Tamandua tetradactyla: one gene and its partner. The protein of the gene in region 2 interacts with the protein of the main gene of each other region in a pairwise test. Links are inferred from orthologs where the notes say so. Each region holds a gene or a part of one and is shown on either strand. Other genes may lie near its edges. The genes, in order: RRAS2 and RIN1.

Region 1 (9,002 bases), on a different chromosome or scaffold from region 2:
CCAGGGAAGAAAGTAGATTAGAGTTTACCAGAGATGGGAGTGACAGAGGGTGAGGGTGAGTTGCTCAATGGGCACAGAGTTTCTATTTGGAATGATAAAAAAAAAAAAGTTTTGGTAATGGATGGAGGTAATAGTAACACCAGATTGTGAATGCTATTAATGCCACTGAAAAACAACCGTAAAAATGGTTAGAATGGCAAAAAATAAAACCCCAATGATTATTCCATTATTTCCTAAAACCAATTCCAAGTTGATTTAAAAAAAAGTTTCCCCAACTCAAAACAAAATCAGCATTTATCACTTAAATATCAAACAAAACTAAGGAGTGGAGTGCAGGATTGGAGGGTGGAGTGAAGATTTAAAATAGCACATCAGATTATGACAAGGAAAAATGAATAAATCACAAGTTTTGACACCAAAATAAGGAAATAACAGGAGCACACAAAACTAGGTAACAATTATTACTTACTTACTCTGTAGGTGGCACTGTGCTGAATGACTTACATGCATTATTTTATTTACTCCCCAAACCGCAGGATACTGTATTATTCTCCCTTTTAATATGGGGAAACTGAGAACCTAAGAAAATTGAAACTGAGAACCTAAGAAAATTGACCACAGCTAGGTAAGTAAGAAAGACTCTGAATTTCAAAGATGCAGATTTGTTCACCCAAGCCCAACATTTAGCAGAGAAGAAAATGAAGCCTTGAAGAGATTAAGCAATTCTCCCAGTCACCTGGAGAAAGTGATCTACAACATTCCATTTTGCACAATGTTAAGATCATTTCCTACCTAGAGTTTACTCATCATTTAGGTATTCCATTTACCAACAGAACTTAAAAGGACTGTTTTCAAAAGTAATGAACAACAAAAAACAAGGAGTACGTTAACACACACTTTTTTGTTTATTTGGGGGATTTTTTTTTCTATTTTTTTTACATATACACTTTTAACAACATAATACCTTGCATTCTTTTATCACCCATGGGTATAGTGTGAACCTCTATATTCATTGTTAAAGAGGTAAAGGCACCGCAATTAAATAAAGATGACTTTAATTTCCTAATTTTCCAGCTGTTCATTGCACAGAATGAACTAAAACTGAGAACTAAGAAAGTCAAGGCTAGAAGCAAGGGGGTTTTAAGTTCTCCACGCCCAAATTTGTTAATCATATTTTTCTGTTCAAGACAATTTAAGAGAAAAAGTATTTTCTGAAAACTGTAAAAACAGATTGTTATTTTAGGTATCCTATAAAATAAATAAATAAAAAACAACTGTGCCTCCTAATTTCCTACAAAGAGAACTGACTTTCCCTTGGCAAGGTGATTATTCTTCTGCTCTCTCCTCTCCCTCCAACTACTGGACAAACACAGCAGGATGGATTTTAACTTCCCAAGGCTCAGACATATAAACTGTTGTCCTGACAAGTGTAGGTAATAAGCGCCATTATTTTCATCATCTAAGACTGATATAATAACAGCCATAATAACATAGGTAAGCCTTAATATGTTCTAGACATTGTTCTCTGCCCCTGACAAGTCACCTTGTTTAACTCTCATGTCCACTGTATGAGATACTTTTTAAAATTATTTCCCCGGTTTACAGATAAGGAAAACTGAGTTACAGAAAGGTTAAGTAATATGCCTTAACTTACATATTGTGCAAGTGGCAGAGGTGGGACTGATTCTATGCAGTTCAGTCCTACCTCTGCCTGACTCCTGTCTCCCCAGAAAGTCTGAACTTGAGAGTCCAAATTCCTCTCCCCTTTACTGGCCCCAAGTCATGTGCTTTTCCACTGCCTCCCTCGCCTGCCTCCTCTCTCGGAGCTCCTTACTTACATATGACATATACTCACTCTTTCTCCTCACCACTAAGCCTACGCAGTATTTCTATCAACTCTTCCCAAACTGACCTTCCTGTGATACTGAACTCCCTTTGTACTTACTGTGTGTTACGAAACTTGTACACATTCACACTTACAATAATAGGTACCTTTAACTGAGCACATACTAAGTCCTAGACACAATGCTAGAAACTTTCCCATAATTTAAAGAGTTATAATAAATGTGCAATTGGACCCATTTTACTGATGAGAAAATTGAAGCTCAGAGAGGCTAAATATCTTAGAAATGTTCTCAGAGACAGTAAATGCCAGCGCAAAAGACGTGCTCAATTCTGTGTGACTCAAGGTTCATACTCTTTCTCTATGTACATACACATGTCTTTCTCATGCACTTCTTTCTAGAGCATCTAGATACAGTACTATTCATAAAGAAAGCATTTCGTCAGCTAACGAATTTCAGAAAATCATAAGGAAGGCAGCAATCGCTGTATTTTAATGGTCTCTAATGCTATTTCCCCCAAAACAAAAAATTCCAATACCTTAATAACTAGTTTACAGACTCAGTGCTTTCCCTGGCTCCGTCCAAAAAGTTAAGAAACATTTGTAGCTTACATATTTTAGGTAACATTTTTTATCAATACTGGAAATCAGGATTATTCTCCTCCGCACTAACCATAAAACTACAATCCCCAGAGAAAAGTATAAATTGTTTTGCTTTGCTATCAGTTGGTCTTTCTTGGCCCTAGAGAAATGGCAACATAACAGCATCCCTGATTCTGCAGCCTGTTAACACTAAAACCAATCTCGCCTCTTAGTGTGATTTTTTTAAAACCCACTAAAGACCATGTTGTAAATGCTCACTACATAAACATCCTCTCTTCCTGGATACATAGGTTTTCTGCAGTAACCCTCTAAATTTCACCCAAAGTGCTAAAATAGTTTTAATCTCTTGGCATGTTACAGCAGCAAGTATTGCTCCTTAGCCAATGTGAAAGGTGATGATCACATTTCTGTTACAGTTCTCTGTATTTTAATGTCACTATAAACATTAGGTGAAATAAAATAAGCTATTCAAGTATTCCAATTGATGACAAATGGGTGAAACGGAAACCAGAAATAAAATAAATATTGCACCAAAGCTTCTTAACAATACTCTTGCTATGAATAAGAATGCCTTTGTTACCCCATAAAACGTTCTACCTTGGTTCTTTCCCAGTAAATGCCACACCTTCTATATTGACAAAAGCATAAAGATATTCGGGTTTCTCTTAAAAAAAAAAAAAAGATCACTCAAGCCTCGCACCAAAAGCAAAGTCAAAGCATGAAGAATTCCACCTCCTTTTTCTTTACCACAACCCCTGACTTTCGGCCTCTAGCAACAAGAAAGGGGTGGGGAGGGGAGGGGTGAGGGTGGTTGTAACACAGAACACACGCCTCAATCATCTCTTAGCCTGGCCCATCCCAAACTTCACCTTGGCACAGCGAAAAGCCTGAAGACACCAGAAATTCCTAGGAAATGGTCTCACCCTTATCGGAGAACATTTTTAACTTCCTAGAAGCCACTCATGTCCCTCGGGATTATCACACACCCCTACCCAAACATATTACCTAAGAGATGACTTAAAAGAAAAGCACAAACACACACAAAGAAAAAACACACTGCTAGACGCGGGCAGCTCCGGCTCAGACTGCGCGAAGCCCGGAGACCACGCGGAGCCGCGGCCAAGTTGCCACCGCGATCGCACCGCCGGAGCAGGAGGCAGCCGGGAGGCGGCAAGGCCACCGGCACTGCGGGGCTCCAGCCACACGTCGGACGCCGGGGCCCACGGGGCAGGAAGCCCGGCTCGACGGCGCTGCCTCTCCGGAGGGCTCCGGCCCCGGTCAGAGCGATAAGGTAGATCGGCGCTTCCCACCCTACCAGCTCCGCCCTCCCGCCACATTCCTGAGAAGACGGGCTCCCGGGACGCCGACCCGGGCGCCGGGCAGGCAGGAGCGCCGCGCCGCAGCCGCCGGGCAGGAGAACAGAGCCGGCCCCGCGCCCACCCGCCCTCCGCCCCGGGCCCGCGCGGCGCCTCCGGGGCGGGGTTGCGGCGCCCGCCCCGCCACAGGTAGCGAGCCCCCGCCCGCCGCCGCCCCGGCGCCCCGGCAGGCCCGCTTCCAGGCACCTGGATGAACTGGATCGTGAGCGCCGATTTGCCCACGCCGCCCCCGCCGACCACCACGAGCCGGTACTTCTCCTGGCCGGAGCCGTCCCGCCAGCCGGTCGCGGCCATGGGGACACCGCCGAGCCCAGCCCGGCCGCGCCGAGCCGTCGCCACCCGCCCTAGGCCCGGCTCCGGGGACGTGTGCGGGCTGCGGACGAGTAGCCGGGCGGGGGTCCTGGGCGCCGGGAGCTGCGAGGAGGGCCGGTCCACGCGGAAGCGCGGCGCCCGGGGCTGGCCGGTCCCGCCCAAGGCGCGGAGAAGCGGGGTGTCCGCCGGAGCCAGGGGCGGCAGCAGCCGGGGGGCGCGCTCCTCTACCCGTCTCCGCAGCTCCAGCCGAACGCAGCCTCCAGCGCCGCTACAAATGGCCGTCTGGGGGCCGGGCTGCCGGGCTGAGGTTCTGCATATGTATGAGGGGGCGGGGGAGGGAGCGGGGCGGGGCCGCAATGGCCTGGCGCTGAGATTCGGGAGTTGGCTGAGACTTCATACCCCTACCGAGGTGCCCCTCCAATCCCTTGACTCTGTGTGTGTTTGGCTGAGAGAGAGAACGTGTGTGTGTATGTGTGTGTGTGTGTGCGTGTGCGTGCGTGTAGGAGTGTGGAAGAGGGTGTCAGTGACTGGGTGTGACCATAATTGTATATGTCAGGGATTATGTGGATGAAAAATACATTATGTGACAGCATGTGTGTGAAAAATGGAGCTGTTGTCATCTTAGTTTAATTTGTAGAGAGCAAATATCGTGTTTGAAGAGTACAGACAGTGACTGTGGTTGCATGAAAAATCCAGTATGTGACAGTGATTGAGGATTAGAGCTGTCACAGACATTGTGTGTGTGATGCGCTTGCAGAGGTCACCGTGTGTGAGGAATGTGACAGTGACTGAGTGTGAGGAATAAGTCACAGTGACTGAGCTTGTGCAGACAAGAGTGAAAGTGAGAGATTTTGTATGTGTCTGGAGAGTATCTAAGAGGCTGCGTTTATGTGTAAAAAATATGTGGTCATTGTATTTGGGGAGTATGAATGTGAGAAATTGATTTTTACCTATTGAACACACTAAAAAGAGTGTCCCTGCCCTCCGAAATGGGGGAGACAGCCTGGGTAAGGAGCAAATCATCAGACACAATGATAAAGGCTATAACTGCATAAGCACTCGGTTGCACATGTGCCCATAGGAGAGGCACTCATTCAATCCAGAGTTGGCTGGTCAGAGAACTTAAGGATAAATAAGATCGATGAATAATTAATTGGAAGAAAAGAATCACAGGGAGAGGAAATCACATATGCAAAAGCCAGAGGAGAGAAGGAAGGATTGTCATATGATTTTGAATGTTGCAGGAGATTGCATGATGGTGATAATGAATGAAAAGTGATTATTTCTGTATATCAGTTTAACCAAATGTAACAGTAATCACAGCTCTATGTAGAAGATCTGGAGCCAAATCTGGATTCAAATCTCACCTCTGCCACTGATGGTGTGACGTTAGGAACTTAACCTCTGTGCTTTGGTTTCCTCCTCTCTAAAATAAGGATAATAAGACTACTTACCTCATGGGTAGGTAATAAGAATTTTACTAAGCATCGAATGAATCAATACATGTAAAGCACATAAAACAGTGTCTGGCATGTGGTAAGCCTCTCTGAAAGTTTTGGAACATGACTCCAAGTTCCTGGACACTACTTAGTGACCTTGGTGACTTGCTTGGGATCAGTAGAATGCAGTGAAAGAGATGCTGCATAACTTTAGAGGCAGCTCCAGAGAGCTCATGCAGCTTCCCCTTGTTCTCTTGGATGCTGACCATGGGGGAAACAAAGTAAGAAGTTTGAATTACCCTGAGACTGCCATGCTGAAGAGGCCAGATACAGACATGACAGTTCAAAGTCTAGCTGAGCTCCCAGCAGACCATTAGCTGGTCCTGACATCAAGTACCAGCCATCTGAGTGAGCCATCTTGGACACCCAGCCTGGTCAATCTTTAGACAACCACAAACCCAGTCGGCACCTGACTGCAACTGCATGAAAGACCCAGTCAATAACTGTCCTTCAGTGTGTAAGTATGAAGAGCACCCAAACAGCTTTTACCCAAATTCACCTGTTATGAACGTTTTACCCCACTAGCGTTGTCATTCTCCTCTAGACAGGTAGATGATAGAGATATATGTTTTTTCCTGAACCATTTAAGGATAAGTATCCTACATCCTGACTCTTTACCCCTAAATACTTCAGTGTGTATTTCTTAAGAATAGTGATTTTCACAGAGCAATAACACAGTTATCAACTCAGTAAATTTAACATTGATATGGATACTTTAATCTAATTTAGAATGCACACTCCAATTTTGTCAGTTGACTCAATGATGACCTTTAGGGCATTTTTCCCCTTCAGTAAAGGACCAAATCTAGGGTCAGGTGTTGAATTACTTGCCAAGTCTCCTTTGCTTCTTTTAATATCTTATAAAATGGTGGCTTTAAGTAGGTTGGGGTTTAGGGATATTTGTTATGCAACAGTAATAACCAGAATATATGACATATATTATTATCAATGTGGAAAGAGAAAGTAGAAAATGAAGAGAGAAAGAAAAGAGGAGCCCATGACAAGAGAAGACTGAGAAATGCCCAAGAAAGGGCCAACTATACTCCCTGCAGATACCTCTCAGTGTCTGCCTACCCCTGCAATGAACCATAATTCCTCAGGACCACATCTTCATCTACTCTATCCCTTTCTTTATTGACTGGACTCAAAGCTGAGTGTTCAGCAAGTACGAAGCCCATGTGCTCAACCCCACCCAAACAGCATATTCCAAAGCACTTTCTTGTCCTTAGAAAACACTCCAAAAACCCTTAGCAAGAAAGAAACTGCCCTGTAAACTAAATCACTACAGAAATAGAAGATGGGAGAGAAAGAGCTAGTTGTGTCTTTCAAGCTTAATTATTAAAGTGCTTTTTTTCATTTTAACCTGAAAAGATTCCTTCTCGAGTATCTGGGAGACAATAGGGAAATATATAAATCTCTTCTAGAGAAGAATGACCCAGACCCTTGGAAAGAATGATAGAGATAACCCCACTTACCTGACAGAAAGAAATCGTGTGACTCGGGAAGGAATTTCCCAACATCACTCAACAAGTTGTTTGCAGGAATTAGGACACAGGTCTCCTGACTCCTCTGCTCAGGGCTAAAGCTGGATGTTATCCAGATTCCAACAGAGCCTCAGAACACAGAGCAGAGACAGTGCTGAAGCTGCCAGTCAAGACCAGGGCTGCTGATTCCATCATTTTGACTGAAATTGAATAACTGTCTGGCTAACGTATTGTCAAGAGATTTTGACAGGCAGATTCAGAGCCACATTTGTCCCACAGAATTGTTTGGGCACATAACTAAATTTTTTAAAAATTGAATTGATTGCCAACATTAAAAAATAGATACTTCACATAAAAATCTGGATTTCTAACTCTTCTTGAAAAATCCAATTGGAATATATAACCACACTGGGCTGGCACTGTCATATGGCAATAACTGGCTAAAAGTAAGGACTGACTGTCCTTTAGAAGAGGTATCAATGCTCCTATTCATCAGAGACCCCAGCCAGCTTTTTGTAACACGGCCCACCTATTTCATTTTAATGTTACCTGCCAGACCTTTGTGGGCATGAGGAGTTTGCAAATCCTACTACTATATACCAGTGTTTTCTACCTAGGATGCATATTGAATCACCTGTTGAGACTTTTAAAATGAAGAGCCTGGGCTCCACCCCAGACCTGCTCCATGAGACTCTCTAAGGTTGCAGACTCAGAAAATGTACTTTTAAAAAATATCCAAAGTGGCCCTGAGATGCTACCAAGATTAAGAACTACTGGAGGAGAATGGACTCATGTTCACTCTTTATTTCAGGACAAACAGTCATTTTCTCATCTGGAGTGTTGGTTACTCATCATCTCTAAAAACCACTGGCCCAAATGGTATCCCTGGCCCATCCCAAAGGAAGGATTTGGAGATGGAGTGAGGAGGGGGGCCCTAAACCCAATATTCCCCCGACCTCATCTATAGCTGAGTCAGACAGAGCCCACACTTGGTGACCAAAGAAGGCCAAGCCCCCGGAGAAAAGAGGATGCAATCCTTATCCTGGCTAATGGAAGAGCATCATCCACTTATTTCCTTAATGGGCCACAGCTTCTAATGTGAATGAATGGCTGGTGCAGAACGAAACAGCCCAGCAGGAGCTGCAGGCATGTGAGATGAGACAGCCGCACAAATCTATTCCTTGTTTAAAGATCATGCTGCTAAAAATAGAAACTGAAACACACACTCAGGCGTGTGCACACACACACACAGCCCCGAGGAAGGCCACGACAGAGCTGGCAGAATCCAGAGCTTAGTGGAGGATCAGCTGAGAATCACAGAACCTTAGAGCAGGAAAACCACCCCTCAATCATCCCCTCTAAAGCTCTCGTTTTACAGATGGGATAGCAAAGGCCCAGAGAAGAGAAGGGTGATTCCCAGTGTCGCCTAGAGGTAGAGCAAAAGCACCACTTGAACACAAATCCAGTTTCCCAGCCCGGGGCCCATCCAAGTGTAGCACCCTGCTTTAGTCCAGCAGGCTGGGCAGTGGGAAAAGCCCCACTCTCCTCGGGGCACAGCTTCCAGGAAGACTAAGGCAAGGGTGTCCACCACAGTATTTTTTAAAATAATGAAAAACTGGAAACTAATTAAATCGCCACAACAGAGGCTTCATTAAATAAATGATGATATGGCCATACCAGGAAATACTATGTGGCCATTAACAGTAATTTTTATTTATATAAGGAAAAAAAATTTTTGTCTATATAAGAAAATGTTAATAATATATCAAGTTAGAAGAGAAGGATACAAAACAGGGTGTACAGTATAATTCCAATTGTTATAAAAAGATATATATTTATACCACTACCACTTATCGAGCACTTTCCATGAACCTGGCACTCTGCT
Region 2 (8,924 bases):
TGGGCAGTTTGGGGCAGACAGGGGTGGGGGTGGCCCTGTTACCTGGAGGCTGTGGGTGGCCGGCAGGCGGCGCTGCTCCCAGAGGCTGAGGGAGCGCTGCAGCTCCTGGGAGGGGCTGAGGCGCACGGCCTTGGCCTGGTGCAGGCTGCTCAGCAGGGTCAGGCTGGCCGAGAGGCTGGTCAGGTAGTAGCCGCCTGGGACGCCACGGGGAAGAGTGTGGGTCAGGCTGGGCATGGGGGGGGGGGGGGGAAACGACTGCCTCCCTCTCCCCGTTCCCTGCTCACCCAGGCCCAGAGAGCAGCGAAGACACCCTCGTCCCACCCAGATAGGAAGGTCAGGCCCCCTCACCCTCTCCGGTGAGCAGGGTGGGCTCCAGCAGCTCTGACATGTACTCGGCCTCCAGGAGCAGCTCTGGGAGGTCACACTGGGCCAGGACCAGGCTCAGTAGTGGCAGGAACTCGTCGGCACCAGCGCCTTCCCCTGCGGGGACGTGTGGCAGAGGCGGTTTCAGGGTCCCCCAGGCCTAGGGTCAGGGCCCACAGCGTGTCTTGGCCAGCGACCCCTCCCCTCTGCCTGCCAGCCCACAACTATGTGGAGAGGCTGCTCTGTCATCTGGGCCTCAGTTTCTCCATGTGTAAGATGGAGGATCGGACTGATTCTCCCCTACTGCGCCATTCCTGGGTCCTGGTGCCTCTCTTTGAGATGCCTGCGTCTGACTGTGCAGGGGGCCCGCGGGGGGCAGGGGTGTGGGGGGCAGGGGTGTGGACGTACCCGCCTGGGCCTGCAGCGCCGTGTAGAGCAGCTTGCAGGCCTGCAGGAGCCGCTTGACCTTGGCGCTGGGCGAGTAGGCGCGAAGCAGCTGCAGCAGCTTCTGGCGCACCTGCTCCGTCTCCACCGGGGAGGGAAGGCACAGGTGGGACCCGAAGGCTCCGGGGCCCTGGGCCCGGGCCAGGCGCAGGCCCTCGGCGAGGCAGCCCAGGGAGCCGTTGGCGGAGAACCGGCTCCGCAGGCGGGCTGCCAGGAGGGGCCGGAGGGGCTTGAGCACGGAGCGGTGCAGGGACTTCTCCAGAATGTGCTCTGAGGATGGAGAGCCAGTCAGGGCTCAGGCCTCAGGCCCTGCGGCTGGGGGCAGAGTCCTGGGGAGAAGGGCCAGGACTGGGCGGGAAGAGGGGATGGAAGGTGGAGGAATCGGGGTGGGATGGGAGAGAGGAGGGAGAAGGGACGGACCGAGTCACTCGAGTGATGCTGAGACGAGGTGGGTTTGTAAAGCAACAGGCGCAAGGAGTTAGGCTGGAACTGCGGGAAGATGAGAGCATCGAGTGGGGACTGGCTGGAATTGTGGTGAGGGAAGGCAGGGTCGGGGAGCTGGGGTCTTACCCAGCCTCTCCGGAGGCAGCAGCTTCTCGGGGCCCAGCTCGGCGCTCAGCATGGCCCGCGCCTGGCTCAGCGCCTCGCGGACGGCCTGCAGCTCCTGGGGCTCGGGCCTGGCCCGCACCTGAGTCAGCAGGTCCTGCACCAGCTGGCCCACGGCCGTGTGTCTGTCTTGCACCAGCGACCCGGCCGCCCGGCCCACCTGCCGCTCGGGTGCCAGCAGCGAGCAGAAGGCGGCGCTCATGGACCGCAACAGGGGCCGGCGGCGGCGGCCCAAGCAGGGCGAGGACCCTGAGCTGCGCCGGGATGCTGGCGCCGCCCCCTCCTCCTCCTCCGAGCTGCTAGGGGAGCAGCAGTCCACCTCCTGGAGGGAGGGCAGGGGCGGGAGGCTGGGGCCAGCACTCCACGGCACGCGGTACCCCACGGAGCTCTCCCGGCGCAGCAGCCCGTGAGGGGGCAGCCTCTCGGTCTGGTCCGGGGCTGCCTTGGGCAGCACGGGGACCGGGGGCGGCGGCCCAGCTGGGGGAGACAGGGGGCTGGAGGTCTCCGTGGACACGCGTACTTTGAAGCTCCTCTTGAATTTCTCACGCTTCGTGGGGCCCAGGTCCCCTGGGAACAGGGGGTTGAAGAAGCACAGGGCAGCTCCAGTGCCCTGGTCCAGCTCTTGAGGGGACCGGGGCTTCAGCAGGGGCAGCAGCGGGCCTTCAGGGGGATCCTGTGGGGCCCTGACATTGAGGGGGGAGCTCCAGAACTCTAGGGGGGAGAAACCAAGTGGGGGGGGCCTCAGGAACCGGGGAGGGGAGGGCGCCCGACCCAGGGGGAGGCATGACTTCCGGGTGGGTGGCCGCATGGCTCTCCCTTCCCCTCTCGGCAGGGCTGGCAGGGGGCCCTTACCGACGCCCAGATGGGAGATGGCCTCCAGCTCCTTGTGGGTGGCTGCCTGGCGGATGGCTCTGGGGAGCTGGAGCGGGAGGAGGAGGACATCTCTGGGACCGAAAGAGGGAGCAGAAAGTCCAGAGTGAGGGGATCCCTGGGGCCACGGGGGTCCTGGGAGGGGCCAGCGGGGTGGGGGAAGATGGAAGAAGCAGGGACCCCAGGGACCCTAGATTGGCAGGTGCCCTGTGGACACTCACCGGGTGTGGCAGTAGCCGCAGATGAGCTGGACCAGGTCCGGGAACACGAGCTCCGAGCCCTCCAAGGAGACGCCTGGGAGTCACCGGAAGTTGGGGCGTTCTCTGGGTGTCCCCCAGCTGGCCCGCCCCAGCCCCCTTCCCTCCAAGCCAGCCCCTCTCACCCCGGGGGCTCTCCTGGATGTAGTGGCTAGAGACGAAGGAGGGCCCGCCGGCCTCCGGCAGCCGCACACACAGGGTCTGGCACTGGCGGGTGTTGGATTTCCGCACCAGGAACGTCTGCGGGTGGACGGGAGTTGGGGGTGGGGGGTGCAGCTCCGGACCACGGTGTCTGGCCTCTCCCACCCCCACCCTGCCCTCCCACTGGCCAGGCCCCGCAGGCCGCGGGCAAGACTCACCCCGGGGGGCTGGGTCCTCAGCACGTGCAGAGCGGCCGCTGCGTTGGCCCGCAGCTGCAGCCACACGGGCCGGGTGAGCAGCAGGCGCTCCCGCAGGCTCACGGCGCGGCCCGGCCGCTGGGGCTCACCCACCTGCCTTCCGCCGGCGCCGGGTACATCATACAGCAGGTCGCGGGCTGGCCTGCGGGCGGGCAGCCGGACCTGGGCAGGGTGCCGGGGGCTGGGACCCTTGTCCAACCCTCCCTAGCCCCAAAGACCAGGCTCAGCCCTTCTCCAGCCCCCGGACGGACCCTTTCCTGCCCTCCCTCCCCGTCCCACCTGGCTACCCCTCCAACTTCACTAACTTTTCTATCTCCAGGTGCCTGGGAGCAGAGCTGGACGGGCTGGGGTCTCTGCCAGGGCCTGCGCCCGGCTCTCCGGGGCTGTCCATGGCTGGGAGCGCCTTAGCTTCTCCTGGGACTCGGGAAGCGAATCCAGCCCCCCAGGCGAGGACACTCACATTCCCGGCGGTGAGTAACACTTCCTGAGGGCGGGGCGCCCGGTCACACCCGCCAGTTAACTCTTGTGTGTCCATTCTGCTGCTTCTGCTCTGGGCACAGCCTCAGGGGCCTGGGATCCCCTTCCTGCCTGCACCTCACTGCGGATACCAGTTTTGGGGTTGCTGCCGCCAGTGCTTCCCACTGCCTCCCTGGCCTCAAGCCACACCCCTGGGCGGGAAGGAGTTCATCACGGCTTGCGGGGAAAGGGTTAAGCAGGGCTTGCCTCAGGCCCTGGGGGCCCAAGCCTCGCCCTGGGAACACCTTTAAGTCTGTGGTCAACTGATCCTTTTTTTTTCCTCCGAGGCCTTAGGGTCAGCCTTGTGGGCGAGCGCCCCCTATTGGTTACGGATGACTCATCCCTGAGCCTAACCTGGACTTTGGGATTTCAGGTTGCCATGGAGAAAAGATGCCATGTCGCCATGGAAACGAACCCCTTTGCTTAACTGAGGTGCTGGGGGTGGTTCTAACACTCAGCGCTAAACCGGGGGGAGTCTGGCTGTGAGGTCGTCAGCACACGGCGCTGCTGCCGGCTGCCTCCCACGCACAGGCCCTGCCAGCCTGCCTTGCCAATCTGCCAAGCAACCCGGGCAGGTGCAGACATGACCCAGCCCCCAAGCCCTGAGCACCCGTATGCTCGCCACGTGCTCTACCTGGGCCACATGTTGCTTCAGACTGTGCTAAGAAGTACCGGCCCCCCACCCAGCTCAGAGGTACAGGCTCCTGCTGGGTAGTGGGGAGAGGTGCCACATCCCAGGGACCCGAGGAGGGTCTGCCTGTCCCAGGTGGCTCCCCACGGGAGCCCTGATTCCCTTGCCAGGTGAATCAGACATACACACAGGCCATGCCAGAGTCCCAGGAAAGGTTTTAATTCCAGTCCCTACCACCTAGGAGGCAGACATGAAAAGACGCCCTGAGAGAAGCTGGGAAGCCTGGCTTTCCACCTCCAGCTCAGCCAGGGCAGATGGGCCCCCCAGTCATAAGTTACGATTTAAAGTTCCCATGCAGTGGGGCCTAGCTCCTTCCCTCAGTTCTGGAGAGCTGGAATCCAGGGTCACAGGAAGGGGAAGTTGCTTTGGCTTAAAATGAGGCAAGGGTTCTTTGTCTGGGAGGCATGGAGACGGCTGATCTTTGGGAGGGGGAGACAGTGGGCCGGTCGGGAACAGGGAAGACATCTTGGCTGCCCAGGTCAGCTCCACGTCTACTGCCGTGCAGACCCCTGAGGAGGCGGCGGAGGAAGAGTCCAGACAAGTGACCGCCAGGGGTGAGGCCCCAGCAGCCACAACGGGGGGCCAGCTGGGCTGTCAGGTGGACCCAGAGGGGCTTGTCAGCCCACCCTTCCGCAGGGGAATCTTGGGTTTGGTGCTGGCCACGCCGAGGGACCCCGTGGTGGTGAACAGAGGGTCACGGTCCTGGGGGCATATGGGAAGGGGACAGTCACTGTGGGGAGCCACCAGGGAGGGCCACCTCACATGCGGGCTCGGGGTATGGCTTTGGCTCTGGGGCTGCTCCCCAGCCTGAGCTGCACCGGGGCTCTGGATTCAGCCCTCTGCCCAGGAACTCCCCCCAGCCTTCAGGCCCACACTGACCCAACCTCGCTGGTCAGCCTCCCCCGCCCCAGCAACCCAAAGCTCCCACCCCAGGTTCCTGCAGCCCAAATGCTCACTCCACCCCCAGGTCTAGATCATTCTTTCTGTCTTGGGCCATGATGATTCTGACAGGTCCACTGCTTCTCTCAGGACTCCCTTCTGGAGGTGGGGCTAGAAGAGGTGACAGTAAGGGGACAAGGGGGACGGGAGGAAGTGTAGCCTCCATGGTTCTTACCATCCGATTTTCTCTTCTGAGGGGACACAGCTGCCCTAGCCTGGATGAGCAAGAAGAAAAGCCCCTCTGAGAGCCTGCCTCCAGCTTGGCAAGGACCGTCCCCCCATATCAACCTCCATGGAAGTGGGGGGCTGCTGGATCAGCTGTGCTTTGAGAGGGGTGGGGAGCTTAAGACCCTTTCCAAGCAAAGCCCTGATGTCTGTTTTCAGATACCCAGCCAGCCCAGACGCCCTCCAGGAGCCTGCCACCCTTCCCTCCCTGTCCCCCCACCCCATCGGAACCTGCCCTGCAACCAGAAGGGGCTGGCAGGCTAAAAAGACCGTCTCAGGCAAAGGGAGAACGTCTGTCTGCCAAGGATGATAAGAAACCTGGGTGGCAGAGAACCCTGTCTCTACAGAGACAAGCCCAACTTTGGTATCTGAGAGAGGTCTCACACTGCCCTGTGATGGGGCTGGGGTGGGGGACAGTAGGGACCCCCTACCTTTTTGATAGCAGTCCAGTCCTCTAGAATGTCGATTTCCTGCAGCATATACACGATGTAAGGGCCTGCGACAGGAGTCAAGGAAGCAGGAGCCGAGCGGGGTTGCAGGGGATGGGTGGGGGGGTGGGGCGGGGGGACTGGGGCACCAACCCAGTGCTTGAGAGAGGGCAGCGTGAGACCGGACAGTTGTGAACCTGGGTTTGTGGTCAGGTCTCACCTCCCACCATGAGACCCCACCCCTGGCCCTCACAAGGACCTCACTGCCTACCTCCCCTCGGCTCACCCTCACCTTCATCCAGTCTCAAGGCCTGAGTCCAAGGTGCACCCCACCCCCCTTGCTCCTTCTATTCCCTCCCTTCCTGTGGCATAAACTGTTCCCTCTCCTGGCCCTTTCTCTACCAAGAACAGATGTGGAGGTCTCCCAACCCTGGGCATCACATTTCCCTCTGGGGACTGTCCACTACCCACACCTTACCCCCCGCCCCGTGACCACCTGTGCTCTGCATTTGACATCCCCATGCCCTCACAGTCCATTCATGCCTTAGTGTGCTCCCAGCTGCCTGCATCTGCTCTCCATCACCAAAGTGACCAGGACCCAAGAATCTAGTTCCTTCAGAAATGCCCTCAGAGGTGGCAAAGATAATTCAACATAATTCTGCTGGGATATACCAGGAGGGTCCCGGGGGTGGAGACAGGGCAGGCCTTGGATTGGAGGGGCTCAGGCCCAAGGCAGGGAAGGCAGAGACAACTCCTCCCATGTGGGAGGTGGGCAGCCCAGTTGGCTCACGGAAGAGGTGACACTTGAGATAAGCACCGAACAGGTAGGGACAGCTGTGAAGGCACAGTCGGAGGGTGGAGCACAAGCAAAGGCACAGACGCGGGAGAGCCTGGAACATGCTCTGGGGCAACTGAGTGGCTTGGGAGAAATCATGGAAAGCACAGATGGGCCCAGAGGCCAAACCTCACCCAGAAGTCATGGGGCGTCATTAAACTGATGTTTCTATCTATGGTCCACAGAGCCTAGGAGAGACCCACGGCCCCACAATAAATTTCTGACAGCTGGATCTGCTGGGATATGGTCACATGACACCCAACGACCGCGAATGTCTCTAGTCCAACCCTGCCCTTCGTGTCACCTCCATCCCCCCACCCCTGGGGTCTGGTGCTGACACTGATCCCCCACCCAGTCTCAGGCCACCTTGGGGGAAGGATACCAGAGACGAGAGGTGCCTTCTTCCTCTTGCTGGGTGGCAGGGAGTCCCAGGTCCTTGAGCTGCCCCTGGCGTGCAGCTTGTCATCCCACCACTCTGAGCCCCCAGACCCAGGATCAGTCACAGGTGTTGGCCCTCACAGGCCGTCCCCACGCTTGTAGAGCCAGCCCAGCCTCTCCTCCCTTCCCCACCCACCATCACCCAGGGCCATGCGTGGAAGCCTGGGCTTGGGGTCGGAAGCCTGAGTTCAGGCCCCAACTGCACAGCTGTGCAGCCCTGGGAGAGGTCACTGCACTTTCGTGAGCTTTGGTTTCTTCACTTGCTCCGTGGACAGTGGGGCAATGACAATTCCTGCCTCCTCAGGAGTCCCCCACCCCCAAGAAGCCTACTGGCAGAGCAATGGACATGAAGTGCGAATGTGGAAGTGGGGGAACTGTGGTTACCATACATGTGGGCATGTCCAACCAACACCTCGTTCCTGCAGGAGAACAGGGCGCAGGAGGGCAAAGGAACCCTGTTCCTGGGCCCTGCTGCGTGGCAGGCACAGAATCAAGCCCTCTGCATGCCAGGTCTCAGTCAGTCAGTCCTCACTATGACTCCAAGCAGCAGCTCTGTCCTCATCCCCACAAGCAGTCAGGAAAGCTGAGGTCCAGAGCTGGGTGAGACACTCACCGGAGCTGATGTCCAGACTCTGGCGGTCCTCCTCCAGCCTCTGGATCCGCTCCTGCAGCTCCCCCTGAAGGGTGTCATAGAGCAGAAGCTTCTCACTCTGGGAGAGGCAAGGGCAGCTCAGTCGGGGGGTGGGGGTGGGGGGCAATCCCTGGCCTCACCTACCACCCTGCACCCAGTGCCCTCACCTCCAGGTGCTGTTTGGCTCCCTGCAGCTCACACTCATACTTATTCCTGATCACGTCCAAACAGAAGCCCTTATAGATCCCTGCACAGGGAAGGAGAAAGGGGGTCCTGCTTGATCAGGACCCTGGGTGCCCGAGGAGAAGGGCTGGGAGCACAGAGCTGGGAGGAGGGAGGAGGGGCACAGGATGGCCCACGGACCTGCCACCTGAATGCGAATCTTGAGGCTCCGCTGCAGCCCCCCAAGAGGCTCTGTGTACTCGGGGGCTCTCTCGGCCCCCACTTCTTCCAGCCGCAACCGTAGCTGGCTCAGTCGTTCCCTGAACAACCTGGGAGGTAAAAAGAAAAAAGAAAGGCAGCCATGTAGCTATCTGTCTACCACTCTTGGGCAAACACGTGCCAAGCACCCGCTCCCGGAGGGCCTGGTGTTAGGAGCTCACGCACTCTGGACCCCGGACACCCTGCCCAGCACCAGGCCCACTGCCTCCTCAGCCCAGGGGCCCCCAAGACCCAGCCCCAGGTGTTTCCGGACTCACTTCTCCTTTAGCTCTGAGAACTGCTTCTCCAGGTCTAGCATCTCGTTCACACACTCGCTCCGGCGGCGTTCGCAGTCCTCGTCGTCCATCTCTGAGGACAAGAGGCTGGGCAGGGTTGGCTCTGAAGAGCAGCAAGGAGGGGTGCGCATGTGGTGGGGGAAAGTGGGACTCACCGGAGCTCTCCTCCTCTGACTCCGTCTGGCTGCCGCTCCTTTCCTCCTCACTCTCTTCCTCCTCCCCGTTCATCTCGGCGGCCGAGTCGCCCTCTGCTTCCATCTCCTCTGTGTCTTTGCTCGGAGGCTGGACGGGCATCTGGACTCTGGGGGAAGGAGCGGAGCCATCACTTACTACTGCCCGCAGCTTGGAGTGGTAGAGTGGCCTGACACTTAATCAGAAGGGACAGCCAGGGAGTCCCAGCAGGCAGGAAGGGTACCGCCTGGCCCTATGTCCCAAAAGCCCGGAAGCCATGGATACACTTATGCCCTTGGGCATTGTTGGTGATCCCAATCCTGGGAATACCATCCAAGGAAATGATCTGTGAGATGGGAAAGGCCAAGGGCATGACAGTGCTCAGGGCAGCCTTAT

What was found.
Region 1: the proteins of RIN1 (region 2) and RRAS2 interact in binary tests that used the Homo sapiens proteins (3 or more experiments, as listed by UniProt). The link is inferred for Tamandua tetradactyla from reciprocal best matches to the Homo sapiens genes RIN1 and RRAS2.

Annotation. Positions count from the first base shown.
Region 1 is NC_135334.1:89,723,570-89,732,571, forward strand, and holds the start of RRAS2 (ras-related protein R-Ras2), read right to left. Parts: upstream 4,131-9,002; 5' UTR 4,117-4,130; coding exon 4,009-4,116; intron 1-4,008. UniProt on the Homo sapiens protein: GTP-binding protein with GTPase activity, involved in the regulation of MAPK signaling pathway and thereby controlling multiple cellular processes. Regulates craniofacial development.
Region 2 is NC_135335.1:8,081,305-8,090,228, reverse strand, and holds the start of RIN1 (ras and Rab interactor 1), read right to left. Parts: upstream 3,730-8,924; 5' UTR 3,474-3,729; coding exon 3,244-3,473; intron 3,081-3,243; coding exon 2,900-3,080; intron 2,781-2,899; coding exon 2,666-2,780; intron 2,578-2,665; coding exon 2,505-2,577; intron 2,358-2,504; coding exon 2,266-2,357; intron 2,125-2,265; coding exon 1,378-2,124; intron 1,078-1,377; coding exon 772-1,077; intron 481-771; coding exon 349-480; intron 195-348; coding exon 43-194; intron 1-42. Other genes in the region: BRMS1 (breast cancer metastasis-suppressor 1), read right to left, coding at 4,413-4,654, 5,260-5,299, 5,741-5,805, 6,955-7,047, 7,624-7,720, 7,809-7,888, 8,005-8,132, 8,340-8,430 and 1 more. UniProt on the Homo sapiens protein: Ras effector protein, which may serve as an inhibitory modulator of neuronal plasticity in aversive memory formation. Can affect Ras signaling at different levels. First, by competing with RAF1 protein for binding to activated Ras.